Macaca fascicularis: one gene and its partners. The protein of the gene in region 5 binds, or shares a complex with, the protein of the main gene of each other region. Links are inferred from orthologs where the notes say so. Each region holds a gene or a part of one and is shown on either strand. Other genes may lie near its edges. The genes, in order: NUP160, CETN3, NUP153, NUP214, NUP85, E3 SUMO-protein ligase RanBP2 and NUP107.

Region 1 (3,500 bases), on a different chromosome or scaffold from region 5:
AATCCCAGCATGACACATGCTGGAGTTAAAAAGAGAAACCTCTACCTACAGTATTGTAAAAAGATACCATACTACACTGCATACTTAAAGTGCTTTTTTGTTTAGTTTTGGTTATACTGTTCTAACCTTTTTATTAGGACAGTGAAGGTCTGACTTGGTTCAAATTCAAGAAACTCTTGGCCGGGCGTGGTGGCTCACGCCTGTAATCCCAGCACTTTGGGAGGCCGAGGCAGGTGGATCACGAGGTCAAGAGATCAAGACCATCCTGGCTAACATGGTGAAACCCCATCTCTACTAAAAATACAAAAATTAGCCGGGCGTGGTGGCGCGTGCCTGTAGTCCCAGCTACTCAGGAGGCTGAAGCAGGAGAATCTCTTGAACCCAGGAGGCAGAGGTTGCAGTGAGCCGAGATTGCACCACTACACTCCAGCCTGGTGGCAGAGTGAGACTCCGTCTCAAAAAAAAAAAAGATAAAGGCTTTTAGCTTCAAATTCATAGTATAAGAGAAGCCCAGTGCTTTACAAAAAGATTCTTTGGCCAACAGTGGTGACTCACACCTATAATCCCAAAACCTTGGGAGACTGAAGCAGGAAGATCACTTGAGCCCAGGAGTTTGAGAGCAGCCTGGGCAACAGAGGGAGACCCCATCTCTGAAGAAAAAAGAAAAATAGCCAGGTGGTATGCACCAGTGGTCCCAGCTACTCAGGAGCCCTAGGTTGGAGGACAGCTTTAGCCCAGGAAGTAGAGGGTACGGTGAGCCTTGATCATGCCACTGCATTCCAGCCTGGGAAACAGAGTGAGACCCTGTCTTTAAGAAAAAAAAAACAGAAAGGGTTTTTTAAGGTTACGCAGGCTTCTGGCCAGATGCAGTGGCTCATACCTGTAATCTCAGCACTTTGGAAGGCCAAGGGGGTGATTTGCTTGAGCTCAGGAGTTCAAGACCAGCCTGGGTAACATGGCAAGATTCCCATCTCTTTTAAAACAACAAAAAAGTTATATAGACTTTTTTTTTTTTCTTTGAGGCAGAGTCTTGCTCTGTTGCCCAGGCTGGAGTATAGTGGCACGATCTTGGTTCACTGCAACCTCCACCTCTTGGGTTCAAGTGATTTTCCTGCCTCAGCCTCTCGAGTAGCTGGGACTACAGACACATGCCACCACACCCCACTAATTTTTGTAGTTTTTAGTAGATACAAGGTTTCGTCATATTGGCCAGGCTTGTCTCAAACTCCTGGCCTCAGATGATCCACCCGCCTTGGCCTCCCAAAGGGCTGGGATGACAGGCATAAGCCACTGCACCCAGCCTGCATAGGCTTCTTTACATTACTACTTAGCTTCATGGATGGATTTAAAATACAATAACTCATATAATTGAAAGTTATATTAGAATCTTCTAGTCTGACCTCCCACATAAAACAGAAATGCCTTCTGAGGCTTTTGTGATAGTTAATTCAGCCTTTAATTGTCTCTACCTCCACTGACCACTGTCTCACTACCTCTTGTGGGAGTTATTATTCCCAAAGTGTATCATTGAAAAGGAAGCCTCTCTTCTATAAATCAACCTTTCAGGTGTTTTAAGAATCTTTCCAGGTCATCTTTCTCCAGACTAAATACGCGCAGTTTCTTAACTTTCTCTCAGGTGATGTGTGTTCCACGTATGCCAGATCTCTATTATATAGTTTTACATTGCCTCCATGTCTTCTAAACTGAAATATTTTTCATTCAGTTTTGGCTATTATATAGAAGTCTAAAATGTCTTTTAATGTTAGATTTTCTGCCGAGGAACTGAGAGGAATTTGGATCTTTCCTGGAGTGAACTGAAGAAGGAAGTTACTTTAGCTGTTGAAAATGAGGTGAGGTTTGGGTAGAGAAAGAGTAAGAATTCCTTCCATCTTGATATAGAGCAGATTGGCACTGAGGAATTATTGGAATTCTTCACTTGACCTTGTTCGTTGGAAGTACAAATGTTTTAAACCTTTTAACTAGAGAATCAGATATGCATTTGCGTATTCTATGGCCTTTTATACGTAAGGAATATTCATTTGGCTGTAGCTTAGTATAATGATATTGGACAATTACACTTTTTGTGGACAAAGATCCTAAATGGCATCAAAAGTTTAATTTCTTTCATTTCTTCTTTGCCAGCTTCAAGGAAGTGTAACAGAGTATGAATTCTCCCAGGAGGAGTTTCGAAATTTACAACAAGAATTCTGGTGCAAGTTCTATGCCTGTTGTCTTCAGTATCAAGAAGCCCTCTCTCATCCTCTTGCCCTACATTTGAATCCACACACAAACATGGTGTGCCTGCTGAAAAAAGTAAGCGAACTGAGGCATGGAGAAGACCTTCTTGAGACAGTTCAGTGGCTGTTGTAATAAAATGCCTTCAGAAAACAAAAAGTTCAGTGGGTCTTGCCCAGTGTTAGTCTGCCGAATGTTGCGGTTAGCCTTTACGACTTTGCATTTGTATTTTTTCCCCTAAAATTGTGATTCATTCATTTAAATAGTTTTCTGTGTTATTATCTGTACTTTTTTTGTATTTTATTGTATTTATTTTCTTTTTTTTTTTTGAGTTGGAGTCTTGCTGTGTCACCCAGGCTGGAGTGCAGTGGCATGATCTCAGCTCACTGCAACCTCTGCAACCGGGGTTCAAGCACTTCTCCTGTCTCAGCCTCCTGAGTAGCTGGGACTACAGGTGCACGCCATCATGCCCAACTAATTTTTGTATTTTTAGTAGAGACGAGGTTTCACCATATTGGTCAGGCTGGTCTTGAACTCCTGACCTTAGGTGATTCACCTGCCTCGGCCTCCCAAAGTGTTGGGATTACAGGTGTGAGCCACCACACCTGGCCTGTTTACTTTTTGTATTGAAGTAATTTCCAACTTAAGGTAGGAGTTGCAAGAGTAACACAAAGAATTCCTGTATGCACTTCACCTGGATTCATCATTTGTTAACTTCCATTTGCTTTTCTTCTTTCTCTAAACATAGTTTTTCCTGAACTGCTGAAAAGTTAGTTGTAGATATCACGCTCCTTTATCCTTAAATATCCTTAAATATTTCAGCATGTATCTAAGAACACGGATATTAAATAACCACAGCCCAATTTAAAAATCAGATTATTTGATATTGACATAATATTATACAGTTTATATTCAAATTTTGCCAAATATAATATATATAGTTTATATTCAGATTTTGCCAATTGTGCCCATAATTTTTTTTCCTGATCCAGAATCCAATTTTTTTTTTGTTTTTGAGAGGAGTCTTCTCTGTCTCCCAGACTAGAGTCCAGTGGTGCAATCTCTGCTTACTGCAACCTCCGCCTCCTGAGTTCAGGCGATTCTCCTGCCTAGCCTCCAGAGTATCTGGGATTACAGGCATGCGCCACCACGCCTGGCTAATTTTGTATTTTTAGTGGAGATGGAGTTTCGCCATGTTGGCCAGGCTGGTCTCAAACTCCTGGCCTCAGGTGATCCGCCCGTCTTGGCCTCCAAAAGCCCAGGAT
Region 2 (4,069 bases), on a different chromosome or scaffold from region 5:
AAGAAATTACAAAAATTAAAACTATCAAATAAACACTTACATTCACCTATCCATTAAGGCTATTAAAAATCTCAAAATACTATCTTTCCCACTGTGCTGAAAGTAAGTCCCACTCAACCCTAAACCCAAATCTCTCCTTATACCCTGACAAATAATAATTTACAAATCCCTCTCTACACCTTGACATTCTAGGTCTTAAAGTTGACATTTTTACCTACTAGCATGTGTCAACATCAAACAGCACTGAAGTTGTCTGTACCACAGAAAGTGGATTGAGACTATGTTACTAACAAATACAAATTATAAGATTAAAAGACAACAATCCCACAATCTGAAAACAGTATGAGTCACCAAGAAACAAAAACAAAAACAAAAAAAACAGTGAAAAGAATATGGTAATAGTTTAAATTCCAGTTTGAAATCCTTTAATTATGTCAGTGAAAAATAAGCACCTTCCCTAGGAATGTATTGTTACATTTAAAATGCTATTCGTTTTATCACGTGAAAAAGATTTTCTAAAAACTGTGTTAGGAGTTCTATTCAGTATTATTATAGAATCTAACTATGAATGCTTAAAATGCCTTCATAGTTCCAAAACCAATTTAGTTAAAATAATTACTTAGAAATGTAATGTAAAGCAACTGTCAAAATGCAAATCATTTTAACACAGAAACAAGTATTTTAAAGTATACCATTACCTTTAATTCATGATAATCTATTGCTTCATCTTTGTCTGTATCAAATAGTTCAAAAGCATCTTTAATTTCTTGTTTCTGTTCCTCAGACAGTTCTCTTCTTTTTTTCCTCTTTGTTTTGTCTACTACAAGCTCACTTCTATGAAATGGAAAGAAAAAGCCCTTAGTCCACTTTAATTCTCTTTACTAACAGAAATTAGCCAATAATTATTTTCTAAATTTCAAAAAAGAAAGTACTTTGGAGAAAGACAGGGAAACTTTCCCTTTATGAGTCAATGCCCTGTTTATTCCATAGTCTAAATTGCTATAAATATGAACTTCCCAAAACTAAAGAGTGTTACAGATTATTAAAAGAAATGAGGACCAAACTTTTCCTTTTCCCAGCTTTTTATTTATTCCCACTTTCCCTAACTTTTTATTTATTCAAGAACTGTGAATAAGCAACATTACGTTTATGTCTGAAACTCCAACCAACTCCAACCAAAAAAAAAACAAAAACACTCACATTATTCTACAAGAATGTTAAAGAAACCAAAAAATCTCCAAATGAAACCAAAATTCGTAACTGACAATCACCATATATCGGTTTACTTTTGATAGTTCTGATAATTAAGTTCATAAAATTACTACAAAAAATACAACTGGATTAACTTATATTTTGGGACTGTTGGTTCAAAATGTTTTTAGATTACACGTTTCTAACAGTTTGGCAATTTATGTGTCATTTCCTCCACTGATATTAACAAATCACCCAAAATATTAATGAGTCTAAACATATGACAAATATTAGATGTCAAAAAAGTATACAATATTTGTGCTTCATAAGTCTTATCTCACTTAAGATGTAAACTGGAGGTTAAACTTCTCATAAACTCTGGAAACGCTTAAAGAAAAAAGCAAAAATTACTTTAAAGCCAGAAATGTTTTCCGTAAGAGCTGCCCATCTAAATGTGCTCCAAGTTTTCCAATGGAGCCGCAACACTGGTATAAGAACAAGTTTTGAAACACACAATCTGGTAACACATTAACATGTCAAAACCAGTTGACTGTATTTAAAACACGTATCTAGCTGCATTTGAAAGTCGTTTTGGTCTCTGAACGCTACAAAAAAAAAAAAAAAAAGGCTAGGAAGTGACCAGTAGATGCAGTATGACAAAGCTGAGGAAGATCTTCCTTTCATGAGACCTGACTTGACACAAACTTGGGTATTCCTGGGGTCAGTCTTTTCCTTCCTGAGACTTTTAGAGGCCAAGTCCAGAACCGACCCACCCCTGACCCCATCCAAGGGTACCATGATTATCCCTTAGCAGAACATGGAACATTTTTAGAGTGTCCTAAGTATATGTATAGTTTTACGGTACAACGTCTACGTAGGGGGAGCGGGTAACAGACAGAGGGTTAGAGGTTAGAACTGAAAGGTAAAGAAATGAAAGAAACAGGAAATCCAAGAGACAGTTTGCCAATTAGTCACTAAAATGGGTTTCTAATTACACCGTAAAGCAGGACCTTGGGAGAATAGCAAAGAGTTTTTTGTTATTTCCAAAATTTATAGGTGGATGATTGCATCAGCAGCAGAGCAGCGGAGGTGGGGCCCTGGCCAGGCATACGAATTGAATGAAGGGATGTTCCGCGGCCTGATCTCTCAGAGCAACAGAGTAGAAGCCTCGCGATATTTCATTCCCTCCCCCTCGCTCGCAACTAAGCCCATTTTTTTGGTAGTCCAAAGCCCTACGCGCTGACAGAAATAACCTCCTTAGTAGAAATGCACTGGAAGTCTCGTTCCCTGCAGGGCACCAGAGCCCAGAGGGTGAGTGATCCAGACAGGCTGCCCTAGGCTCCTTTCCCGCATCCCAAACAGCATCCCCTGCCTCGCCACGGCCCCAAACGGCCTCCCTTCCACACACACCCTCCCTAGGTCCCGCTCCGGGGTGTGGAGAGCACTGCCGCCTCCTTATTACCGACCTCAGAGCTAAACTCATTATCTCTTCGGATAGAGTCGTTCCTCTCAAGAAACGATTTTAACCCCCTACCCAAAGCAGCAAGACTCCCACAACCGTTCAACAGACACGAACGACCTCAGCGGCCTCAGGGACCTCCCACAACATAGACACTTTTGAGCTGGATTGGTTGAAATGTCGCTATGGTTCTGCCCATTATGGCGGAAGCTTTACCAATTTTATTTTCATTGGGTACGCTTTACGTCAATCAAGAAAAAAAAAAAACCTCTCTCTCCCCGCCCCCCCCCCCCCCCGCCACCCACCCCGCCCCTCCATTCCTAGGGCCGCTCTCGCCCTTCGGATTGGCCTGATGCCTTTTTCCCCGAATCCTTTGCGGGTCCGGCCTCCGATCCCTGTGTGGTGGTTTGCGTGGTGGGTGCTCCTAGTCTCTCGCGTATTGTCCTGCGGTCTGTGGGCCGACGTTCGAAAACTAGATGGATAACTTGGACGGTGGGAAGGGAAGGGACACGCTGCAGGCCACCCTCCGGCTAGAAGGAGGCAGTAGTTGAGGAACAAGGTCTGCGAAGCGTGGCTGTGCTCTGTTCTAAAACTTTGGATGGCTTCAGTACCTGGGGAATGTGTTTAAAATGCAGACTTAAATGCCCCTTTCTCCATTCTAATTTCAGTAGGTATGAATCTGCGTTTGTATTCCTCACAAGCCTTCCAAGTGATTCTGAGGCAGGTGCTGTGACTATACTTGGATTATCACAGGGTTAGATTATCAGGCTATTTATGGTGATGCTGTATCTAAACCGCCCTTCCCTCTCCTTTTCCTCCTTTGAACTGTTTGAAACGGATTTGTTGGCTTCTGTCTCTTATTTTACGGTGCTGTAAATTGTTAATACACGTGAGACTGTATTCACTACCAAACCAAGTCTCCTAAAGCTCACTTGAATGTCTACTTATTCGTCTCCCTTACCAGGTTCAATTTCTTGAAGGCCGTGATTATATCTATTTAACGCTTTTCCTTGTACCTAATAAAATGTCTGGTGCATAGGTGCTCGGTAAATTGAGTGGAATCTTTTGAAAACCCACAAAATACTGAGCTAAACAGCAAATCTCATAAACGGGAATAAAATAGCCTGAGAATGGGAGTTGAAGGCGGAGAATATGTAAACATATGTTTAAGGGATGTATATAAAATTTTAGAGAAGGGAGAGAGCACAAGATAGGCTTCCTAAAGAGGTGGCATAAACGTTAGACCTACAAGGATGGGCTAAATTTGCACAAGTAAAGATAGTATGATAGAACAAGCTAAAAATTAGCTAAGGGATAGCACCCCTAAAAAACAAAAGCGGAACTTTTATTTTGTTCGTATTTTAAATTTTAAAGTACCTTTATAAATCACCTTTGAGTCTAAAAGGAAAGAGAAATTGT
Region 3 (4,225 bases), on a different chromosome or scaffold from region 5:
TGTTTTCTTTTTTAATTAAATAGCCAGAGCAAGAAGCAAAAGTATTTTAGATAAGGGGCAATGATAAACTATCAAGATTTAAAACAAAACTACACAGCCTGAAGCCATATCAACTCTAAGACACCTTGGATCATAGGTATTATGCTGTTAAGGCATCGTCTCCCCAAAATTAGATTTTTATTTTATCTAAGTACATTTCAAAATAAGCTGTGATAACTTCAGACATTTGGAAAATATTAATTCCCTTCTAACCTCTATCCAGACCATCCAATGACCTATATTTAAAACACGTCATTTTTCTATACATGTCATACAAGAAAATCTAAGCACTCAAAGGCATTCATAGGAGAAAAGAAAGCATGCATGTCTAACTTCCATTCTATAGAAGGATTAGGTTAAATGGCCAGGCTTGTGACCTGAATTCTAATCTTAAATCTGCTTGCAAATACCCCTGTTCTTCACAAATTTGAAAACTAAGTACTTTACATATATATCTCGGGGAAAATTGGTAGAAGTAATAACAATGCCAAACCTAACCATCAGTAGAGAACGACTTAAAATACCTGAGCCACGATTTTCACTACTCAAACATTTCCCTCAAAATAAAAAACATTTAAGAAAACTTAAAAAAAAAAGTCCTCAAATCTTTACCTTCCCCCCCGCCCCGCCCCAGACGGAGTCTGGCTCTGTCGCCCAGGCTGGAGTGCAGTGGCGCGATCTCGGCTCACTGCAAGCTCCGCCTCCAGGGTTCACGCTACTCTCCTGCCTCAGCCTCCCGAGTAGCTGGGACTACAGGCACCCGCCACCACGCCCGGCTAATTTTTTTATATTTTTAGTACAGACGGGGTTTCACCGTGTTAGCCAGGATAGTCTCCATCTCCTGACCTCGTGATCCCCCCGCCTTGGCCTCCTTAAGTGCTGGGATTGCAGGCGTGAGCCAAGGCGCCCGACCCATACTTTTACAAATCTGTTGATAATGACACAATTTAACAACATCAACCATGTGAAAGTGTGTAATATTTATTAGCATCCAGAATAAAGTAATCTAGGAAGTCTACCTTTAACAGTAGGCAACAAGTTATCAGATCCTTTTGCTACACTTTTGTTTTTCAACAAATTTAAAACACACACTTCCCACCTCAGTATCATTGATAAATTTTTAAGTGGCTTTATTAAAATAAGTTAACATTTTCCTATTCAATCCTTCTAACAACCAATTATTTTAAAAATGGAATTTTCTCAGAATCAACTACCTCATTTACAATTACGATAATCTTTTTTTATAATTTTAAACATCCACGAATTCATACACTGGCTAAACTATAAGATCACCAACATTCCTGGAGCGTCAAAAGTAACTAAACTTCTAGAATACGCCTCATAATATTAAAATATTTTGTGTATGAGATCAGAGCTGGAGTCCTGGTCAACTGTGGAGAATGGCCAATTCCAGCCTCCAAAATAAAAGCGGGGGTGGGGGGGGGAGTCGCGCAGCAGAGAAAAGACGTAAGGGTGGAGAGGGACTTTCAAAATGCCCCAGTGCCACGGTTAACTATAACCCGGTTAAGAAAACCTAAGCCAATGCTCTCAAGACGAGGAGGAACACCGGCAGGGGAAACCGAGAATTAATTCATAGGCTGAGACTAAGTTATTCCACTTTCCATGTAACAGCGCCCCCCACAACTCCCCGTCTGCCCCAGAGTTAAGATTCCTCGGGGCAGCCCACTCCCCACACACACACTAAAGGAGGGACACCAGAAAACAACAAGGGCAATCAACCACAACTTTTCCTTTCTCCCTCGAGAGGACGTGAGTAATACCCTCAAACTCCAAATCCCCGCCAAAAAAGAAAGAAACGCGCGCATCCTGGGCCTACAATTTCTTTTCCCGCCCAGAGCCTGCCTGGGAAAACCCCTGACCCAGAGGGTTGGGGGAAAGGCGGCCCAAACCACACGTGTGCGCCGCAAGGCTGGGCCTGTCTCAGCCCACTTCCCGTCGCCACCCCCAACGGCCTGAGCTCCCCCGAAGCCTCACTCGGGCCTTTCCTCAGGCCCTCCTGTCTGCTCCACGTGGGGCGCCGGGGCCTCGAACCGCCCGTCCCCTCCAGCCGAGTTTCCCCACCCGCCAGGCCACCGCGGCGTCGGGGTCCCATACCTGATGCTGTTGTCGCCCCTGCTGGTAAGGCTTAATTGGCCCCTGGTGGCAACGCCGCGTCCGGATCTTGCCGCCACCGCCCCCTCCGACTCCTCCGGCTCCCGAGGCCATGGCGGAGCCTCCGCCGCTTCCCGCTCCGGGGCGGGTAAGGGGGCGGGAGAGGCAGAGGCGGAGGCCTTAGAGCGCCCCCCCCGCCGCCCGGCCCCGGCCCAAAAGTCCGCCCGAGCTGTCCACACAGTGGGCACAAGCACCCCAGGAACCGCGAGGTTGCGAGCAGGAGCGGAGAGAGGGTGAGTGCTGGCAGCGGGGAAGGGGGTGGCGGCCGCAGAGGCCGAGGAGGCTCCGGTCCCGCCGCCTCTGCGGACCCCCGCCTCTGTGTATGTCACGGTCTCTATGGAGATCTCCCGCAGAGGACAGCACGAACAGCTCCCGGCGGTGCTGAGGCCTAACTCGACCGCCGACTGGTGGGGATTCTTCCGTCGCCCTAGCCTTAGCTGCCGCAGTTGAAGCCGCTGGCGCCGCCCGCCTACCCCTCCCCTGTGCGCACAGCGCCCGCCCCGCCGTCGTCGTCGTCCCTGCAGCCTCCGCCGCCGTTGCGCCTATTACCGCGGCTAAGGCGGCTGCCGCGGTCGCGAGCCAGAATGTCGTCACTCACAGGCGCCCGACGCATTTGCATCATCATGCTACGACGAGCTGGTAGGCAAAGAGGAAGGACTGATGGAGTCCACTCTCTCGGCCGCGCGGCACGCTGGGAAACGTAGTTCAACAACGGAACGCGGATTCTCGGAAAGGGAGAGGGACGGGGAAGGAGATCCCCGGAGCGCCGCAGAGGCACAAAGCCAAGGGGTACTTTTGCCGTTCTTGGTTGTAAATTAGACTCTGAAAAGGCACTTAACATAAAAACAGTAACTTCTTCCCACTCTCCTTCTCCCTGTCGGTTGGTTAAGTGGGCAGGAAGTAAGCAGATAGTAAAATCAAAGAGCTAATGATTTAAGAAGGAGGAAAAAAATCTGTGGTTGAAAAACAATGTCCATGGTCCTTAGAATTAGAAAATATATACGACTTCATTAATGTTTATTTAAACATATAAAGGCTTTGTTGCCAGACACACGGGGCTGGAATTCTGGTTCCGCCACCCAACCTATTTGACCTTGGATGAATCAAAACCGTCTGAGCCTTAGCTTCCTCCTCCATAAAATGGGAGTTTTATAAAGCTGTTGTGAGAGGCAGACGTGATCATCTATGGAGAGCATGTATATTTACTAATAGGCGAAAAATGCAATGAATGATTACAATTTTAACCCATACAGTCAGCTAACATTAGAGGTAAGTGATAGATACATCCTTACTAATAAAAGTATACCGTATTTGCTCCAAATAGAAGGCATTGTATTTAGGAAACTGAGTAAGTGAACTAGACTCAAAGACTGAATCCACAAAATATATATTCTAGGAGTTGACGATTAGAAAGGCCCTGGTGATCACATAGTCCAACCCTCTCATTCAACCAACCAGACAAGAGGTCCAGAGAAATTTAGGTGGCACAATCAATGACACTGAGATGGGTAATCAAAGCCAGGACTATAACCCAACTTTTCTGTAAGAGTTAAAGACAAATAGCCAAATGATTAGGGAGGAAAAATCTATTGTGAAAAATCTTAGACTTACTATAAAGCTTATTTTTTCTTTCTTTCTTTCTTTTTTTTTTTTGAGAGACAGTCTTGCCCTGTAGCCCAGGCTGGAATGCGGTGGTGCAACCTTGGCCCACTGCAACCTCTGCCTCCCAGGTTCAAGTGATTCTCCTGCCTCGGCTACCTAAACAGCTAGGACTACAGGTGTGCACCACCACGCCCAGCTAATTTGTGTATTTTTAGTAGAGATGGAGTTTCGCCATGTTGGCCAGGCTGGTCTCGAACTGCTGACCTCAAGTGATCCACCCACCTTGGCCTCCCAAAGTGCTGGGATTACCGGTGTGAGCCACCACTCCCAGTCAATTTACTGTAAATCTGCCACTTACTAGCTGTGTAACCTTTGGGAAGTTACTGATCCTGTTTCTTTCTTTCTTTTTTTT
Region 4 (4,217 bases), on a different chromosome or scaffold from region 5:
AGGACTGTAATATCATCAGTCAGCCTTATCCAGACAATCTCAGTTCTTATCCTGTCACTACCACTTTCTGACTGAGGGCCACCGGAGAAATTTCTCAACTTCCCCTGTGCTTCCCTTACCTCAACAATTATTATTATGTATGTGGATGTGTATATATACACATATATATCTTTTTTTTTTTTTTTTTTTTTTTTCCTGAGACGGTCTCACTCTGTCACCCAGGCTGGAGTGCAGTGGCGCAATCTTAGCTCACTGCAACCTCCACCTCTCGGGTTCATGCCATTCTCCTACCTCAGCCTCCTGTGTAGCTGGGACCACAGGCGTCCACCACCACGCCCGGCTAATTGTATTTTTAGCAGAGGTGGGGTTTCACCATGTTTGCCAGGCTGGTCTCCAGCTCCTGACAGGTGTTCCACCTACCTCAACCTCCCAAAGTGCTGCGTACAGGTGTGAGCCACCGCGCCCAGCCCATTTTTATTTTTTGAGGCAGGGTGTGGCTCTGTTACCCAGGCTGGAGTGCAGTGGTACAATCACAGCTTACTGCAGCCTCGACCTCCTGGGCTCAAGCAATTCTCCCATCTCAGCCTCCTGAGTGTGCTGAGACTACATGCGCATGCCATCACTGCTGGTTAATTTTTGTGGTTTTGTTTTGTTGTTTTTTGTAGAGACGGGGTCTCGCCATGTTGCCCAGGCTGGTCTCAAACTCCTGGGCTCAAGCAATCCTCCTGTCTCGGCCTCCCAAGTGCTGGGATTATAGGCGTGAGCCACCGGCGCCTGGCCTACCTCATCAATTAAATAATAACCCCTAGGATGACTAGAAGTCTTCAAGATTACATGAGATCCCACATCTGAAGGTTTTTGCAAAGGACGTGGCACAAACTCGTGCAACTAGAGATGCATATGGCTCTTGCTCTGGAAATGATCACCTTGATAAGAGCAAACAAAGCTGGTCTTCCGTGCCCTTTAATCTCCCCTTCCAGCCTTCCACCTTCCACACTGGCGATCCCCCGACCCCGTTTTTCTGAACCTCCCTTCCTCCCCTTGCATAGCCCAAAGCCTCTCTCTAAAGTAGCCCACCGAAAACATCTGTCAAGTTCCTAACTTATCTGAATCGGAAGCTACTAATAGCCAACCTACATCTAAGAGGAACTGTAAGGTGTCAGAGGAACAAGGAGCATAGGTCGCTTAGACGTGGGCCACCCAAGAAGACAGATTGACACTAAGCGAACCCGCGCTGTCTGCGAAGGCGGGAGCGGCACCAGGACGATCCAGGGCGCAGGCGCCGGGGCCCCACGGCCACGCCCCTATTCAGCACGAGTTGGCCAATGGGGAGCGGCGGCCGGGAGAACGCGCGGCTTCTTTAGGTTCCGCTGCCTCCCCGGCCAAGCTTGACGTCACCAACGCGCGCCGGAAATGCGAGATCAACTGCGCGCCCCTGGCGCTGAGGGAAGGAAGTTTGCAGTCCAGCGGCCTAGGTTCTGTGGGCAAGGCCGTGGGAGGCAGCGTTGGCTGCTTCGACACACCGAGGGCGGCGCGATGGGAGACGAGATGGATGCCATGATTCCCGAGCGGGAGATGAAGGTCAGAGACTAACTGGGGCCTCCCTCCCTTCTTTAGTCCTGGCGTTGCCTTGGAGCCCAGCTGAAAGGCGAAGCGCGGTGCCGGCTGTCCCGTCTCCTGCTTGAACAGACTACCGCGTTCACCGCTCTCAGCTGCGCGTCTGCCGCGCCGCTGGCGTGATAGCCCCACCGAATGCAGTTTCCCAGTCCCATCCTGGTCTCGTGCACGTCTCTTGAGTTACCCTAGCTAGTTTCATGTGGCGGTCACAATAGTGGCAATAACTGCTGTGTATGGAGCGTTGACTGTGTGCCAGTCGCTGTGTAGTCATCGCAGCAGCCCTACGAAGTGGTTATTAACGTAGAGGAGTGAGTCGAGGCTCGGAAAGTGATTTCCCTAAAGTCACATTTGACAGCGGGGCTGAAAGCCAGCATCATTTAAGACCTTCGCTCTGCCAGTATTTCTGTAAGGCGGTACGGGCTTGCCTAACGTAGAGTCAGGGGAGGTCATCCATCCTGCAGAACCTTTAGTTGACTGAACTAGGAAGACTGTTTTGATATCGGTGTATCAGCCTCAAACCAGGAACCTAAAGGGAGGGCTAAGTGTTTCCAGTGATGGCAACGTGGGAGTCCCCCAGGGATAACTTCAGGATGGTGTGTTTAATAGTTCTTATATGTGTTCTGACAGAATGAGGGTGCAGCAAACGGCCTACATCTGTTTTAAATAGTGAAAGGAAGTAAGATGCAGGAAGATTTTAGTCATCTGTGTGAACAGTAAATCACTAACATGCATGTAGGGCATAGTAATACATACCCTGTTTAGAATAGTGATTTTTTTTTTTTTTTTTTTTTTTTTTTTTTTGAGACAGAGTCTCGCTCTGTCGCCCGGGCTGGAGTGCAGTGGCCGGATCTCAGCTCACTGCAAGCTCCGCCTCCTGGGTTCACGCCATTCTCCTGCCTCAGCCTCCCGAGTAGCTGGGACTACAGGCGCCCGCCACCGCGCCCGGCTAATTTTTTGTATTTTTTAGTAGAGACGGGGTTTCACCGTGTTAGCCAGGATGGTCTCGATCTCCTGACCTCGTGATCCGCCCGTCTCGGCCTCCCAAAGTGCTGGGATTACAGGCTTGAGCCACCGCGCCCGGCCTTTTTTTTTTTTTTTTTTTTTAAGACATAGTCTCGCTCTGTCACCCAGGCTGGAGTGCAGTGGCATGATCTCGGCTCGCTGCAACCTCCACCTCCCCAGCTCAAGCGATTCGCCTGCCTCAGCCTCCCGAGTAACTGGGATTACAGGCACCTGCCACCATGCCTGACTAATTTTTTATATTCTTTGGTAGAGATGGGGTTTCACCATGTTGGCCAGGCTGGTCTCAAACTCCTGACCTCAAGTGATCTGCCCTCCTCTGGCTCCCAAAGTGCTGGGATTACAGGTGTGAGCCACCGTGTCGGCCTAGAATAGTGATTATTTTTTGAGAATCACCACCTGTGGTGAGCCACCTAATGGGATTGTGTCATATTCCTCAGATATACTGGGGTAGAAGAAAAAAAGGGTTTATTAATAGAATCACAGACTTAGAAGATGGTAATCTCAGACTCCCTTTGGCAGCACATATAAAATTGGGATCATGCAGAGAAGACTAGCATGGCCCCTTTACATGGATGACACACAAATTCGTGAAGTGTTCCATGTCAGAAAACATTGAAGGCCGAGCGGAGTGGCTCACGCCTGTGAGCCTGCACTTTGGGAGGCTGAGGCGGATGGGTGACTTGAGGTCCGGAGTTCGAGACCAGCCTGGCCAACATAATGAAACCCTGTCTCTACTAAAAATACAAAAATTAGCCGGGCATGGTGGTGGGCGTCTGTAGTCCCAGCTACTTGGGAGGCTGAGGCAGGAGAATTGCTTGAACCTGGAAGGCAGAGGTTACAGTGAAGCAAGATCGCCCACTGCACTCCAGCCTGGGCGACAAAGCGAGACTCCGTCTCAAAAAAGAAAAAAAGACAACTGAGACAGACCGTGTTCTCAGTAATATATATTTTTGTTGTACTGAAATTGGGTCTACTGAATATAACTTGTTTTAATTTCTTTATTTATTGAATTGATCTTGTTTTGATTCTTCACAACAGGATTTTCAGTTTAGGGCGCTAAAGAAGGTGAGAATCTTTGACTCCCCTGAGGAATTGCCCAAGGAACGCTCGAGTCTGCTTGCTGTGTCCAACAAATATGGTCTGGTCTTTGCTGGTGGGGCCAGTGGCTTGCAGATTTTTCCTACTAAAAATCTTCTTATTCAAAATAAACCCGGAGATGATCCCAATAAAATAGGTAAGTTCCGTGGTTTATGTTGCAAAGTAGAGAGAGGAGTGTGGTGGCATGCTCTTGTGTTTCCTTCCCAAGAAGTCATTCTAATACTAAAATGAACACTGCTGTCAGTTTGAAGGTTGACTCCCAAGAAGATTAATGGAAGCCTTTCTAGGTTTTCTCCTTGGTCCTTTGTACTTTTCCTTACATGAGTTGTTCTTCTCAGCTCAAGAGGGAAGAACTTAACCATTATGCCATACTTTTATTCTTGCCCAGTTGAACTTGGGCTCTGGCTCTCTGGGTGAAGGGTTTTATTGGCATGGGTTTTCAGTTGGCACAACAGTACGATCCAAACTATTGGCAATGT
Region 5 (4,183 bases):
ACTAGCATCTCCCCTGGACCCCAGTCAAAACACATTTGGTTCTTCTTGGAATTCACACCTGGAATCACCTAGTAAAATAAGACATAGAAATCTAAAATGAAGAATGTTCTTCTTACTGAAGTCGTTCTATTCTTTTTTTTTTTTTTTTTTTTTTTGAGACAACGACTCACTCTGTCTCCCAGCCTGGTGTACAGTGGCACAATCTCAGCTCACTCCAATCTCCGCCTCCTGGGTTCAAGGTCTTCTACTGCCTCAACCTCCTGAGTAGCTGGGACTATAGATGTGTGCAACCGTACCCGGCTTTTTTTTTTTTTTTTCATTTTTAGTAGAAACGGAGTTTCACCATATTGCCCAGGCTGGTTACAAACTCCCGAGCTCAGGTGATCCACCCGCCTCAGCCTCCCAAAGTGCTAGGACTACAGGCGTGAGCCACCGTGCCCGCCTGGCTGAAAAACACTTTCCACCATGCCAGCCTGGCTGAAAAACACTTTAAGTGAAGAGCACAGCTGGTCCTGTAATAACATTGTATCCTTCAATAACATTTTCTTATAACACTAGTAAGAAAAATTCATTTTGTGCTGGGCACAGTGGCTCCCACCTGTAATCCCAGCACTTTGGGAGGCTGAGGCGGGCAGATCATCTGAGGTCAGGAGTTCGAACTCTTTTTTTTTTTTTTTTTTTTTTTTTGAGACGGAGTCTCGCTCTGTCGCCCAGGCTGGAGTGCAGTGGCCAGATCTCAGCTCACTGCAAGCTCCGCCTCCCGGGTTCCCGCCATTCTCCTGCCTCAGCCTCCCGAGTAGCTGGGACCACAGGCGCCGCCACCTCGCCCGGCTAATTTTTTGTGTTTTTAGTAGAGACGGGGTTTCACCGTGTTAGCCAGGATGGTCTCGATCTCCTGACCTTGTGATCCGCCCGTCTTGGCCTCCCAAAGTGCTGGGATTACAGGCTTGAGCCACCGCGCCCGGCCAGGAGTTCGAACTCTTGTTGCCCAGGCTGGAGTGCAGTGACGCGATCTCACGATCTCCGCTCACTGCAACCTCTGCCTCCTGTGTTCAAGCGATTCTCCTGCCTCAGCTTCTTGAGTAGGTGGGATTACAGGCATGCGCCACCACGCTAGGTTAATTTTTGTACTTTTTTTAGTAGAGACGGGGTTTCGCCATGTTGGCCAGGCTGGCCTCGAACTCCTAGCCAGGTGTGGTGGCTCACGCCTGTAATCCCAACACTTTGGGAGGCTGAGGTAGGCGGATCACGAGGTCAGGAGTTCAAGACCAGCCTGACCAAGATGGTGAAACCCCATCTCTACCAAAAATATAAAAATTAGCTGGGTGTGGTGGCACGCACCTGTAATCTCAGCTACTCAGGAGGGTGAGGTAGAAGAATCGCTTGAACCTGGGAGCCAGAGGTTGCAGTGAGCTGAGATGGCGCCACTGCACTCCACCCTTGGTGACAAAGTGAGACTCCGTCTCAAAAAAAGAAAGAGGCCAGCCGCAGTGGCTCACACTTGTAATCCCAGCACTTTGGGAGGCCGAGGTGGGCAAATCACGAGGTCAGGAGATCCAGACCATCCTGGCTAACACGGTGAAATCCCGTCTCTACTAAAAATACAAAACAAAATTAGCCGGGCGTGGTGGTGGGCGCCTGTAGTCCCAACTACTGGGGGAGGCTGAGGCAGGAGAATGGTGTGAACCCAGGAGGCCGAGCTTGCAGTGAGCCCAGAGGGGCGCCACTGCACTCCAGCCTGGGCAACAGAGCGAGATTCCGTCTCAGAAAAAAAAAAAAAAAGAAATGAAACCATCCCTCTACCTACCCTGAGATAAATGCATACATAAATTTTTCCTCTACTCCCTCTTTTCACAGGTAAAATGCAGATTTACTGAGGCTAATCAGAGACTCACAAGAATGTAACCATTTGCCTCCTCACTGCCTAACCTCCCTTTTTTGCCCCTCCTGCTAGTTCCTTCCTCTTTAACTACTGATGTTCCCAAAACCATCTCTGGAAAAAGCACAAGTCTCAGATCCTCCTGGGACCTGTGTTTTTTCCCGGTTGGATCCTCAACCTTAGCTAAATAAACCTTTATCGGTTGAGACCTGCCTCAGTCAGCGGTTAACAAGAGAAAGAGGGAAAACAAAAGCATTCCAAGTAGCAGAAACGGTAGGTATGTCGCACATAAAGTCCATGAATTTTTTTTATACACATCACAGATCATCCACAGTTGACATACTCTCTTCAAAGTTCAAATGGAATTGAATGCACAGCGATAAAATATGAATAGTCTCCTGAGATAATACGTTTAATAAACCTTAGGTCACACAAGCAGAAACTCAACGTGCCGCGATGCAGAGCTTAATATGGCTGGAAGAAAAACATAAATTCCTCTGCTTGGGCTGAACCCACTCTAATACCCAAGAGGAAATGCGAGGGAAGTAGAAAGGTCAGCAAGACAAAAGAAGGAAAGGGACGGACTGGGACCTTCGAGGCCTGGCTTTGTGACTGGTGGCAGAAACCCCGCGACCACTACGACCCGAGGTCGGGCACCTAGTTAACACTGCGACCTCCGGAAAGTGGCAACTGAATCAAGGGAAGGGGACGAGAGCCTCGCGGCCAGTAGGGAAGCAGACAAGCCTGAAGTAACGAAGCAGACGCAGTTCTCAACCCACAAGGGCGATCAAGCCTGTTCGGGGTGCCCTTACAGTGACTGCTGGCTCGCCATCGAGCTCCTCCATAGCGCCGAACCCCAGGCTCTGGGAAGTCGCCGGGACGTCAATGCTTCCGGCTCAGGCCTCCCGCTCAGAGCTGCCTGAGAGACAGGACCCCGCCTGGGCGCCTCCTGCAGCGCCTGCAAGCCCAAACCTTCAGTGCTGCGGCGCTCTCTTCCCTCAGCCACGGCCACCCCTCTGCGGTCCTCTGCGCGCGTCCTTCCTTCCTGGCGTCGACAGCAAGTCAGGGAAAACAGCGCCGAGGACGGACTGCACTCACAGTACCGCGCTAACGGGATCAGGCGGCGCCGCGGACACCCTGGTGCCGAGCGGAGAGAAGGCCCCCGGAGAGGGCGGGCGGGGCAGGAGGAACCCTTGGCCAGAGACGGTGCGACTGCGCGTGCGTAGGCTGGGGCGGCGGCACCTGGGTGGGAACTTGTGCCGGACTGAGGTCCCAGTAAACCTGCAAGCTTTCCCAACTCTGGGAGTCCTCGCTCCATCCTTATCTCCACCTTAGTGTCGTAGCAGCCACTTGTCCAAACCCAAACAGTCAAATGGGCTTGTGCTGGAAAGCAGTCGCCGTCACTCCCACACTAGAACACACACAAGAGGCACGGGAGGCCGGGCGCGGTGGCTCACGCCTGTAATCCCAGCACTTTGGAAGGCTGAGGCGGGCGGATCACAAGGTCAGGAGATCGAGACCATGGTGAAACCCCGTCTCTACTAAAAATATAAAAAATTAGCCGGGCGCAGTGGCGGGCGCCTGTAGTCCCAGCTACTCGGGAGGCTGAGGCCGGAGAATGGCGTGAACCCGGGAGGCGGAGCTTGCAGTGAGCCGAGATTGTGCCACTGCACTCCAGCCTGGGCGACAGAGCGAGACTCCGTCTCAAAAAAAAAAAAAAAAAAAAAGAGGCACGGGGACAAAATCGATGCTCCTGAAGGATTAGAGGCTTCTCAAGCCTCTAATCCCAGCACTTCGGCAGCCCGAGATGGGCGGATCACTGGAGGTCAGGTGTTCAAGACCAGCCTGGCCAATATGATGAAACCTCGTCACTACTAAAAATATTTTAAAAATTAGCCGGGCTTGGGCAGGGTGCGGTGCCTCACGCCTGTAATCCCCAAACTTTGGGAAGCCGAGGCGGGTGGATCACAAGTTCAGGAGTTCGAGACCAGCGTGGCCAATATGGGGAAACCCCCATCTCTACTAAACATACAAAATTTAGGCCGGGCGCGGTGGCTCACGCCTGTAATCCCAGCACTTTGGGAGGTCGAGGTGGGTGGATCACCTGAGGTTGGGAGTTCGAGATCAGCCTGACCAACAGGGAGAAACCCTATCTCCACTAAAATTACAAAATTAGCTGGGCGTGGTGGCGGACACCTGAGGCAAGAGAATCGTTTGAACCCAGGAGGCAGAGGTTGCAGTCGGCCGAGATCGTGCCACTGCACTCAAGTCTGGGTGACCAAAAAAAAAAAAAGAAAAATTAGC
Region 6 (4,071 bases), on a different chromosome or scaffold from region 5:
GGGCTTTCGCCATGTTGGCCAGGCTGGTCTCGAACTCCTGATCTCAGGTGATCCGCCTGCCTCAGCCTCCCAAAGTGCTGGGATTACAGGCGTGAGCCACCGCGCCCAGCGGAATGCGTGGGTTTTGGCATAAACCGGTGGTTCTGGAACCAATCCCCCGCCAAGGGATGACTTTAAAAAATTGTAATTGTCCAAAACTTAGTATTTGTGGCCTACTTTTTCATTATGCAATTCTAAATTTTTTTTTTTTTTTTTGAGACGGAGTCTCGCTCTGTAGCCCAGGCTGGAGTGCAGTGGCCGGATCTCAGCTCACTGCAAGCTCCGCCTCCCGGGTTCACGCCATTCTCCGGCCTCAGCCTCCCGAGTAGCTGGGACTACAAGCGCTGCCACCTCGCCCGGCTAGTTTTTGTATTTCTTAGTAGAGACGGGGTTTCACCGTGTTAGCCAGGATGGTCTCGATCTCCTGACCTCGTGATCCGCCCATCTCGGCCTCCCAAAGTGCTGGGATTACAGGCTTGAGCCACCGCGCCCAGCCAATTTTTTTTTTTTTTTTAAATTCAGACGGAGTCTTGCTTTGTCGCCCAAGCGGAGGGCAGTGGCGCAATCTCTGCTCACTGCAACCTCCGCTTCCCAGGTTCAAGCGATTCTCCAGCCTCAGCCTCCCGAGTAGCTGGGACTACAGGTGCGTGCGACCCCGTCCCGCTGATTTTTTTTTTTTTTTTTTTTTTTGTATTTTTAGTAGAGATGGGGTTTCACTGGGTTAACCAGGATGGTCTCGATTTCCTGACCTCATGATCCGGCCGCCTCGGCCTCCCAAAGTGCTGGGATTACAGGCGTGAGTCACCACGCCCGGCCCTCATTTCTTTTAATAAATACGAATTTTAAAATGTATACTTTAGTATTCACACGTCCGATGCAACGTATTTAACCAGTCATCTCCAGAAACGTTGTTCCAATTTACACGCTCACCAACTTGGCCTGAGTGCTTTTTTCTTCCAATGCGTGGCGCACTTATAATTTAGAACAAGCGACCAAAACGCTTAAGAGCCCATCACGCAAATTGTTATCTGCTGGAAATCTACCCCCACGCTGTGGACGCGGGGGCCGAAATCTGATCCCGGCTTCCCAAGACACCGCTCAGAACCCAGGGAGCTACCAAGAGCCCGGCTGTGTGCAGCTCTAGCGCCGACGTCGCCAACGTGGCGCACAGTGCTGACGCAGTACGCAAGTTCGTCGGGATGGTCCTCCGCCGGCGACGTCGCTGCGTCACTGGTTTGCAGGCGCTTTCCTCTTGGAAGTTGCGACTGCTGCGGGGCTGAGCGCTGGTCTCCCGCGCCTCGGGAGCCAGGTTGGCGGCGCGATGAGGCGCAGCAAGGCCGACGTGGAGCGGTACATCGCCTCGGTGCAGGGCTCCGCCCCGTCGCCTCGAGAGGTGAGTGGATCTCGAAGAGACCGACGGCTTCGACCTGGCCGGGCGGCGGCCTCGCGAGGCTCGGGCGTCATGGCTCCCGACGGGCGCTGCTCCCTGGCGCGCACTGTTGAGGCGCCGGCCGGCTAGCGCGGTCCTGTGGGCGGCGTGGCGCTGGCAAGCGCAGGGAGAGCCCTGGGGGGACCGCTGTGGGCGGGAGACCGTTGGCGCCGGCGCTTCCTCTTTCTCCCGGCCTGTTCCCGACGGTCCTCGCTCGTGGGCCCGCCCTGGCCCGGGCTTTCTGGCCGGTCGCGCGCCGCGTAGTACCCGCGCGGCCTAGTTCTCGGGGGGCTTGGGCACCCGGGTGCTATGTCGGCGGGATTCTTCCCATCCCCCGGACATTTTACGTGTTGCGGCGGAGGTCGTACCTCCTTGGCCTGGGGGAACCCAGTGGGGACTGACGCAGCTCCCGGGTGCGCTTTGGCGGCTGTGACGAGTGACAACGTAGGGATCTCAGCGCGAACGTTTGCAACGGCCCGACGGCGCAAATGACACGCGAAGTCCCCTTGTTTTGAGTATGAGATGTTTGTCGCTGTCCCTTTATAAGGGTCCAGCTCCACTCCTCATACTCACCTCCCCCACCCCCAGAACAGTTTGGTAGGTGCTTTTGCTTTAAAAAAAAAAATTATAAATTTCTTATAAATCGTTAGTATGGCTTACAATTTTTAACCTTTTCCACAAATGTTCTTAGGATATTTTTCCTCTTTATAGGTAAATAATGTGATCTGTTTTGGATTCAGTAAGACTTTAGCAATTGGATCTAAAGAGTGACGGAAGAAGCTATTAAAGGTGGATGTGCACAGAATGTTGAGTCAGTTTGCTTTGGCTTGAATAATCAGCCCTGTCGTTCATAAGCTGGGTATTTGGGGCCAGTTGCACTTTCCATCCATAGGTGGAGTTGTAACATTGATAGAATTTGATAGGATCCATTTTAAACATTTAGGGTTGTGCTTGATACATAGCACTGAATGTTAGCTACAAGTCACTGTTTTTATTGTTGATGTTAAAAGGATATTGGCGGGGCCCGGTGGCTCACGCCTGTAATCCCACCACTTTGGGAGTCCAAGGAGGGCGGATTGCCTGAGGTCAGGAGTTCGAGACCAACCTGGCTAACATGTTGAAACACCGTCTCTACTAAAAATCCAAAAAAAAAAAAAAAAAAAAAAGCCGGGCGTGGTGGCGCACGCTCGTAGTCCCAGGTACTCCGGAGGCTGAGGCAGGAGAGTCGCTTGAACCTGGCAGGCGGAGGTTCCAGTGAGCCGATATCGTGCCACTGCTCTCCAGCTTGGGCGACAGAGGGAGACTCCATCAAAAATAAAAATTAAAAACAAAAAAACCAAAAAAACAAACGGAAACTCACGGATGACCATGATTATAATAGCAGCACAATTGTGTCTTTTATCATAACTAAGTGTAGGTTATCTTATTTTGTGCTTCCAGCAGCCCTGTGGATATTGAGACCTGTAGAGATTAAAGATACCTGTTCAGGGTCAAATAGGAAGTGCAGCAGAATTTTGGCAGTGGTTCTGATTTAGTTTCTCTTGGGAACAGTGGAGTAAGTTACAGCCTGTTCCTCCAGAGAGGAGGAATAGATACCTACTTGTACATTGTAATTTCAAACTGCTGGCGTAGTCATAAATATGAACGTGGTGATAGAGTCTAAAACAGACCTTATTGAGGGTTCCAGTAACTCCTGAAATTAAAGACTTTAATTTTTATGGTTTTTTTTTTTTGAGGTGGGGTCTCACTCACTCTTGTCACCCAGCTGGATGCAGTGGCGCTATCTCGACTCACTGCAACTTGCGCCTCCCCAGCTCAAGCGGTCCTCCCACCTCAGTCTCCCGAGTAGTTGGTACCACAGGTGCACCCACCACACCGGCTTGTTTTTTTTTTGTTTTGTTTTGTATTTTTGGTAGAGACTGGATTTCACCATGTTGCCCAGGCTGTTCTCGAACTCCTGGGCTCAAGTGATTTCCCTGCCTCCACCTCCCAAAGTGTTGGGATTCCAGGCGTGAGCCACTGCAACATCCATTATTTTATTTTTGAGACAAGGTCTCTTTCTATCTCCCAGGCTGGAGTGCTGTGGCGGGATCATGGCTCACTGTAGCGTTGACGTCCTGGACTCAATCCATTCTCCCACCTTAGCCTCCTGGGTAGCTGAGACTACAGGCATGCCAGCTACAGGCATGCACCACCATGCCCGGCTAACTTTTTTCTTTAATGTAGAGACGGGGTCTTACTATGTTACCCAGGCTGGTCTCCAACTCCTGGGCTCGAGTGATCCTCCCGCCTTGGCCCCAGGTGCTGAGATTACAGGTGTGAGCCACTCTGCTCAGCCTGTTTTTTTTTTTTTTTTTTTAAACAAGCTTAAAAAAAAAAAAAAGCAAGCTTAGAGCCTTTCTGAGATTCTTAGGGGGGACCTTGGCTTCCAAAAGATTAAAAACCACTGGTCTAGACAGAAGTTAGAATGTTCTTTCAACTACATAACTTTTCCATTAAATAAAGTGGAGTGGTGGCAAAATTTTGAGGATTCATTGTTATGACCACTTCTCTCTTTACACTTAAAGAATATTTTTTTTCCCCCAAACAAATTGAAAGTCATT
Region 7 (3,500 bases), on a different chromosome or scaffold from region 5:
ACTGTTTTTGTAGTAGTTTTTCATAAATCAGAGGTCATCAACCTCTTTAACCCCATTTGTTTCTAGCAGAATTAAATGCCAGTGGGTGCCGTGGGAACCTATTGTTAAGCCTAAAGTCAAATAGAAAAGGGATTTTTTAGAAATAAAAACAGGGCCAGGTATGGTGGCTCACACCTGTAATCCCAACACGTTGGGAGGTTGAGGTGGGGGGGATCCCTTCAGTCCAGAAGTTCGAGACCAGCCTGGGCAATATAATGAGACTCTGTCTCTGCAAAAAATTTTTAAAAAGAAAGAAAAATAAAGGCAGAAGCCACAGAAAGACATACATATGTTTTAAAAATAGAATACCATTATTTATTATTTATTTATTTATTTAATTTATTTTTTTTTTTTGAGACAGGGTCTCACTCTGTCACCCAGGCTGGAGTGCAGTGGCGCAATCTTGGCTCACTGCAACCTCTGCCTCCTGGGTTCAAGTGATGCTCCTGCCTCAGCCTCCCAAGTAGCTGGGATTACAGGTGCCTGCCACTACGCCGGGCTAGTTTTTCTATTTTCAGTAGAGATGGGGTTTCACCATGTTGGCCAGGCTGACCTGGAACTCCTGACCTCAGGTGATGCACTTGCCTTGGCCTCCCAAAGTGTTGGGATTACAGGCGTGAGCCACCGCACCCAGCCAGAATGCCATTATTAACTGCCTACATCCATCCCTTGTAACATTTGTTCCATAAGTTATCTAAACTTGTCATATATTGGTTATACTTGGTTATTGTACTGACTGCTTTTTCTTGTTTCTTAAGGCACAACGACTCTGTAAACGCTGTGGTCAAGCATGGAGAGCTGCAACACTTGAAGGCTGGAAACTGTACCATGACCCTAATGTTAATGGAGGTATTTTAGTAGATTTTATATTGACAGTTGAGGACAAAGGCATTTCGCTCTAAATGCCAATCTTTGTGAACTATAGCTTCTCTTTTTAGAAAGGATTGTAATAAGGTTTCATTTTAAACCAGAAATTTTCTTTTACTGTTTTATAGGAACAGAATTAGAACCTGTTGAAGGGAATCCATATAGACGCATTTGGAAAATAAGTTGCTGGAGAATGGCAGAAGATGTAAGATAAATAAAATATTCAGTGATACTGTTTTTAACTCCAATTAATTGAAAGCCTATTCAGGGGCTATGAAACGTTGAAAGTAGTGTAAAACTGGTTTTCAAAGAACTTCCAATTAAATTGAGGAATAGGCTGAACAACTTATCAGAATTATTAAAACACTATGTACTAAGAATTAAGCATTGATATAAGGCAGAAATGTAAAGGAGGTACCAAATGAATTTAGAGAAAAAGTATTGGACTAAAGCTTAAAGCTGGCTTCCCTAAGGAAAGAATTGAATTGAACTTTTAAAACTTAGTAGGATTTGCGTTTTGGGGAATGAAAAACAAGAGGAAGGAATTCTAGGTAGGATACATAGATTGGGAAACTCAAAGTAAGGTAGGTCTACCAGGTTGGAGTAGAATGCTCATAAAGGAAATACTGTCAGTTCTGTTGTAACATGACATAGGTATTCAAAGTCACCACAATGTGCAGCATTGTACGAAAACCCCATAGGACTTAACAGGAAAATGGAGTTAAGAGAAAAATACTCAAAAACTTCATTAGTGATACGTAAAATAATAAAAAGTTAATAAAAATGGTAGCACAGTTTTACATCTGTCAAACAGTTTAAAAAATACATAAATACTACAATAAATATGGCACTTTACCTTGAAAAAGGCCCAAAGTTTGCTTGTGGAATTGGCTGTCAGGGTGGTAGAAGCTTTAGCGCAGATAGCAGAAGTGTTTTTGAGAAGATCAGCCTGGCAATGGAAAAATATACTTAAAATTAGATGGACAAAAGGCTGAGAAAGTAGTTAGGAGCCTGTCAGAATTATTTGGACACTAAGTCATAAGGGTCTGACCTAGGATAGTATTGATGGGAATGGAAAGGAAGGAAGGGACACTGGTTAGGAGCAGTGATTAGAAACAGAAGGCAGAGGTGGACTCAGTTATGCAGTAAGAGTCTCTGAAGTCTCTTGTTTGGATGATAAGAAAACTGGAAATACCAAAAGTAAAATGGGGAATTAGTTCTACATAGAAATTAGATGCAAACTAATGCATGCCTTGTTTTGATGTTGTACATAGGTCAGTATCAGAGAGTATCAGGTCAATATCAGAGAGTATCAGGTATTGAGAAACATTCTAGGAGAAAATAATATATAGGTTGTTTCTGGAATAAAATTTGATTTTAAATATTCAAAGCATCCACTAGAGTTGGATTTGCTTTCACCCGATATTTGGCATTTAAATGTTTTACTTTTTTTCTCCAGATCTCAGCATTGATTATTTCATCACACTGAAGTTCTTCCTTGTTATTACCCCACTAGATCTTTCACTAAAGTTTAAAAACTATCAGGTGAATAGGTTCAGTCTAGAAGAGATTGCAAGACTCCACATTATGAGGAAAATTGACATACTAAGAAAAACAGTATTTCAAATTTGTTTATGTTCATTGTGTTTTAGGAGCTTTTTAATAGATACGAGAGAGCAATTTATGCAGCTTTAAGTGGGAATCTTAAGCAGGTATGCAATCTGTTTTAATGTTTAAATTTTTTCTGTGGAATAAAATTAAATAGATGAAATATTCTAACAATTGTATATAACAAATATAAACTTAAGTGTATATACTTAAGTATGTATGTACATACTTAAGTGTAGCAATGATAGAGATAATCATGAATCAGATAGTGACTCGTTGTGCTTAATTTGATGTATCCCATAACATACATGGTGTTTTAATGAATGAAATCAGATTTCAGTTTTTAACTAAGAATTGTAAACTTAACTCCAACACACATTTATTGATGACTTAAAATACTCATAGCTGTATGCAGAAATGTGCCAGAAAGGCACAGTGAGTCCTTGGGTTATCTTACATACGCATGTTTTTCTCACAACCCAATACTCCCTACATATTATAGCTATCTTTAGGGATACTACACTAATCAGTTGAAATGTCATATGAGCCTGGAAAACATGTTGTTGTTAACAGTATGAAAAAATCTGAACAGTTCAAACATCTTACAAGATGTAGTTGGCAGGGGAAAGCTTATTTGGCATAATTTTTTTTTAAATCCGCCATGTTTTATATCATTATAAAGTGATTTTATAGTCTGTATCATTGGATGTAATTGATTTTCCTTTCTTTTCTGTTGAATGTCTATATGTTTCTGTTTTGTAATGGGGAAAAAGCTGCTTCCTGTCTGTGACACCTGGGAAGACACAGTTTGGGCCTACTTCCGGGTGATGGTGGACAGTCTGGTAGAACAGGAGATCCAGACATCAGTAGTAACTCTGGATGAAACTGAAGAACTCCCTAGAGAATATCTGGAAGCAAAGTGAGTTTGTTGGATTGTTTTGAGTCATGGTGATTTGTAGCATGCTCTTTGATGTTTCATTTTACAG

Evidence for each region.
Region 1: NUP85 (region 5) and NUP160 share a complex: the UniProt entries of both Homo sapiens proteins name them as parts of the nuclear pore complex. The link is inferred for Macaca fascicularis from reciprocal best matches to the Homo sapiens genes NUP85 and NUP160.
Region 2: NUP85 (region 5) and CETN3 share a complex: the UniProt entries of both Homo sapiens proteins name them as parts of the nuclear pore complex. The link is inferred for Macaca fascicularis from reciprocal best matches to the Homo sapiens genes NUP85 and CETN3.
Region 3: NUP85 (region 5) and NUP153 share a complex: the UniProt entries of both Homo sapiens proteins name them as parts of the nuclear pore complex. The link is inferred for Macaca fascicularis from reciprocal best matches to the Homo sapiens genes NUP85 and NUP153.
Region 4: NUP85 (region 5) and NUP214 share a complex: the UniProt entries of both Homo sapiens proteins name them as parts of the nuclear pore complex. The link is inferred for Macaca fascicularis from reciprocal best matches to the Homo sapiens genes NUP85 and NUP214.
Region 6: NUP85 (region 5) and E3 SUMO-protein ligase RanBP2 share a complex: the UniProt entries of both Homo sapiens proteins name them as parts of the nuclear pore complex. The link is inferred for Macaca fascicularis from reciprocal best matches to the Homo sapiens genes NUP85 and RANBP2.
Region 7: NUP85 (region 5) and NUP107 share a complex: the UniProt entries of both Homo sapiens proteins name them as parts of the nuclear pore complex. The link is inferred for Macaca fascicularis from reciprocal best matches to the Homo sapiens genes NUP85 and NUP107.

The regions. Positions count from the first base shown.
Region 1 is NC_088388.1:18,015,863-18,019,362, forward strand, and holds part of NUP160 (nuclear pore complex protein Nup160), read left to right. Parts: intron 1-1,766; coding exon 1,767-1,850; intron 1,851-2,142; coding exon 2,143-2,313; intron 2,314-3,500. UniProt on the Homo sapiens protein: Functions as a component of the nuclear pore complex (NPC). Involved in poly(A)+ RNA transport.
Region 2 is NC_088380.1:94,405,614-94,409,682, forward strand, and holds the start of CETN3 (centrin-3), read right to left. Parts: upstream 2,801-4,069; 5' UTR 2,675-2,800; coding exon 2,658-2,674; intron 835-2,657; coding exon 699-834; intron 1-698. UniProt on the Homo sapiens protein: Plays a fundamental role in microtubule-organizing center structure and function. As a component of the TREX-2 complex, involved in the export of mRNAs to the cytoplasm through the nuclear pores.
Region 3 is NC_088378.1:155,186,264-155,190,488, reverse strand, and holds the start of NUP153 (nuclear pore complex protein Nup153), read right to left. Parts: upstream 2,801-4,225; 5' UTR 2,266-2,800; coding exon 2,155-2,265; intron 1-2,154. UniProt on the Homo sapiens protein: Component of the nuclear pore complex (NPC), a complex required for the trafficking across the nuclear envelope. Functions as a scaffolding element in the nuclear phase of the NPC essential for normal nucleocytoplasmic transport of proteins and mRNAs.
Region 4 is NC_088389.1:12,731,381-12,735,597, reverse strand, and holds the start of NUP214 (nuclear pore complex protein Nup214), read left to right. Parts: upstream 1-1,417; 5' UTR 1,418-1,536; coding exon 1,537-1,581; intron 1,582-3,145; exon of another isoform or gene 3,146-3,247; intron 3,248-3,678; coding exon 3,679-3,874; intron 3,875-4,217. UniProt on the Homo sapiens protein: Part of the nuclear pore complex. Has a critical role in nucleocytoplasmic transport.
Region 5 is NC_088390.1:81,592,305-81,596,487, reverse strand, and holds the start of NUP85 (nuclear pore complex protein Nup85), read right to left. Parts: upstream 2,801-4,183; 5' UTR 2,725-2,800; coding exon 2,692-2,724; intron 69-2,691; coding exon 1-68. UniProt on the Homo sapiens protein: Essential component of the nuclear pore complex (NPC) that seems to be required for NPC assembly and maintenance. As part of the NPC Nup107-160 subcomplex plays a role in RNA export and in tethering NUP96/Nup98 and NUP153 to the nucleus.
Region 6 is NC_088387.1:16,208,322-16,212,392, forward strand, and holds the start of E3 SUMO-protein ligase RanBP2, read left to right. Parts: upstream 1-1,271; 5' UTR 1,272-1,360; coding exon 1,361-1,432; intron 1,433-4,071. UniProt on the Homo sapiens protein: E3 SUMO-protein ligase which facilitates SUMO1 and SUMO2 conjugation by UBE2I. Involved in transport factor (Ran-GTP, karyopherin)-mediated protein import via the F-G repeat-containing domain which acts as a docking site for substrates.
Region 7 is NC_088385.1:75,480,293-75,483,792, forward strand, and holds part of NUP107 (nuclear pore complex protein Nup107), read left to right. Parts: intron 1-797; coding exon 798-888; intron 889-1,034; coding exon 1,035-1,111; intron 1,112-2,558; coding exon 2,559-2,618; intron 2,619-3,287; coding exon 3,288-3,433; intron 3,434-3,500. UniProt on the Homo sapiens protein: Plays a role in the nuclear pore complex (NPC) assembly and/or maintenance. Required for the assembly of peripheral proteins into the NPC. May anchor NUP62 to the NPC. Involved in nephrogenesis.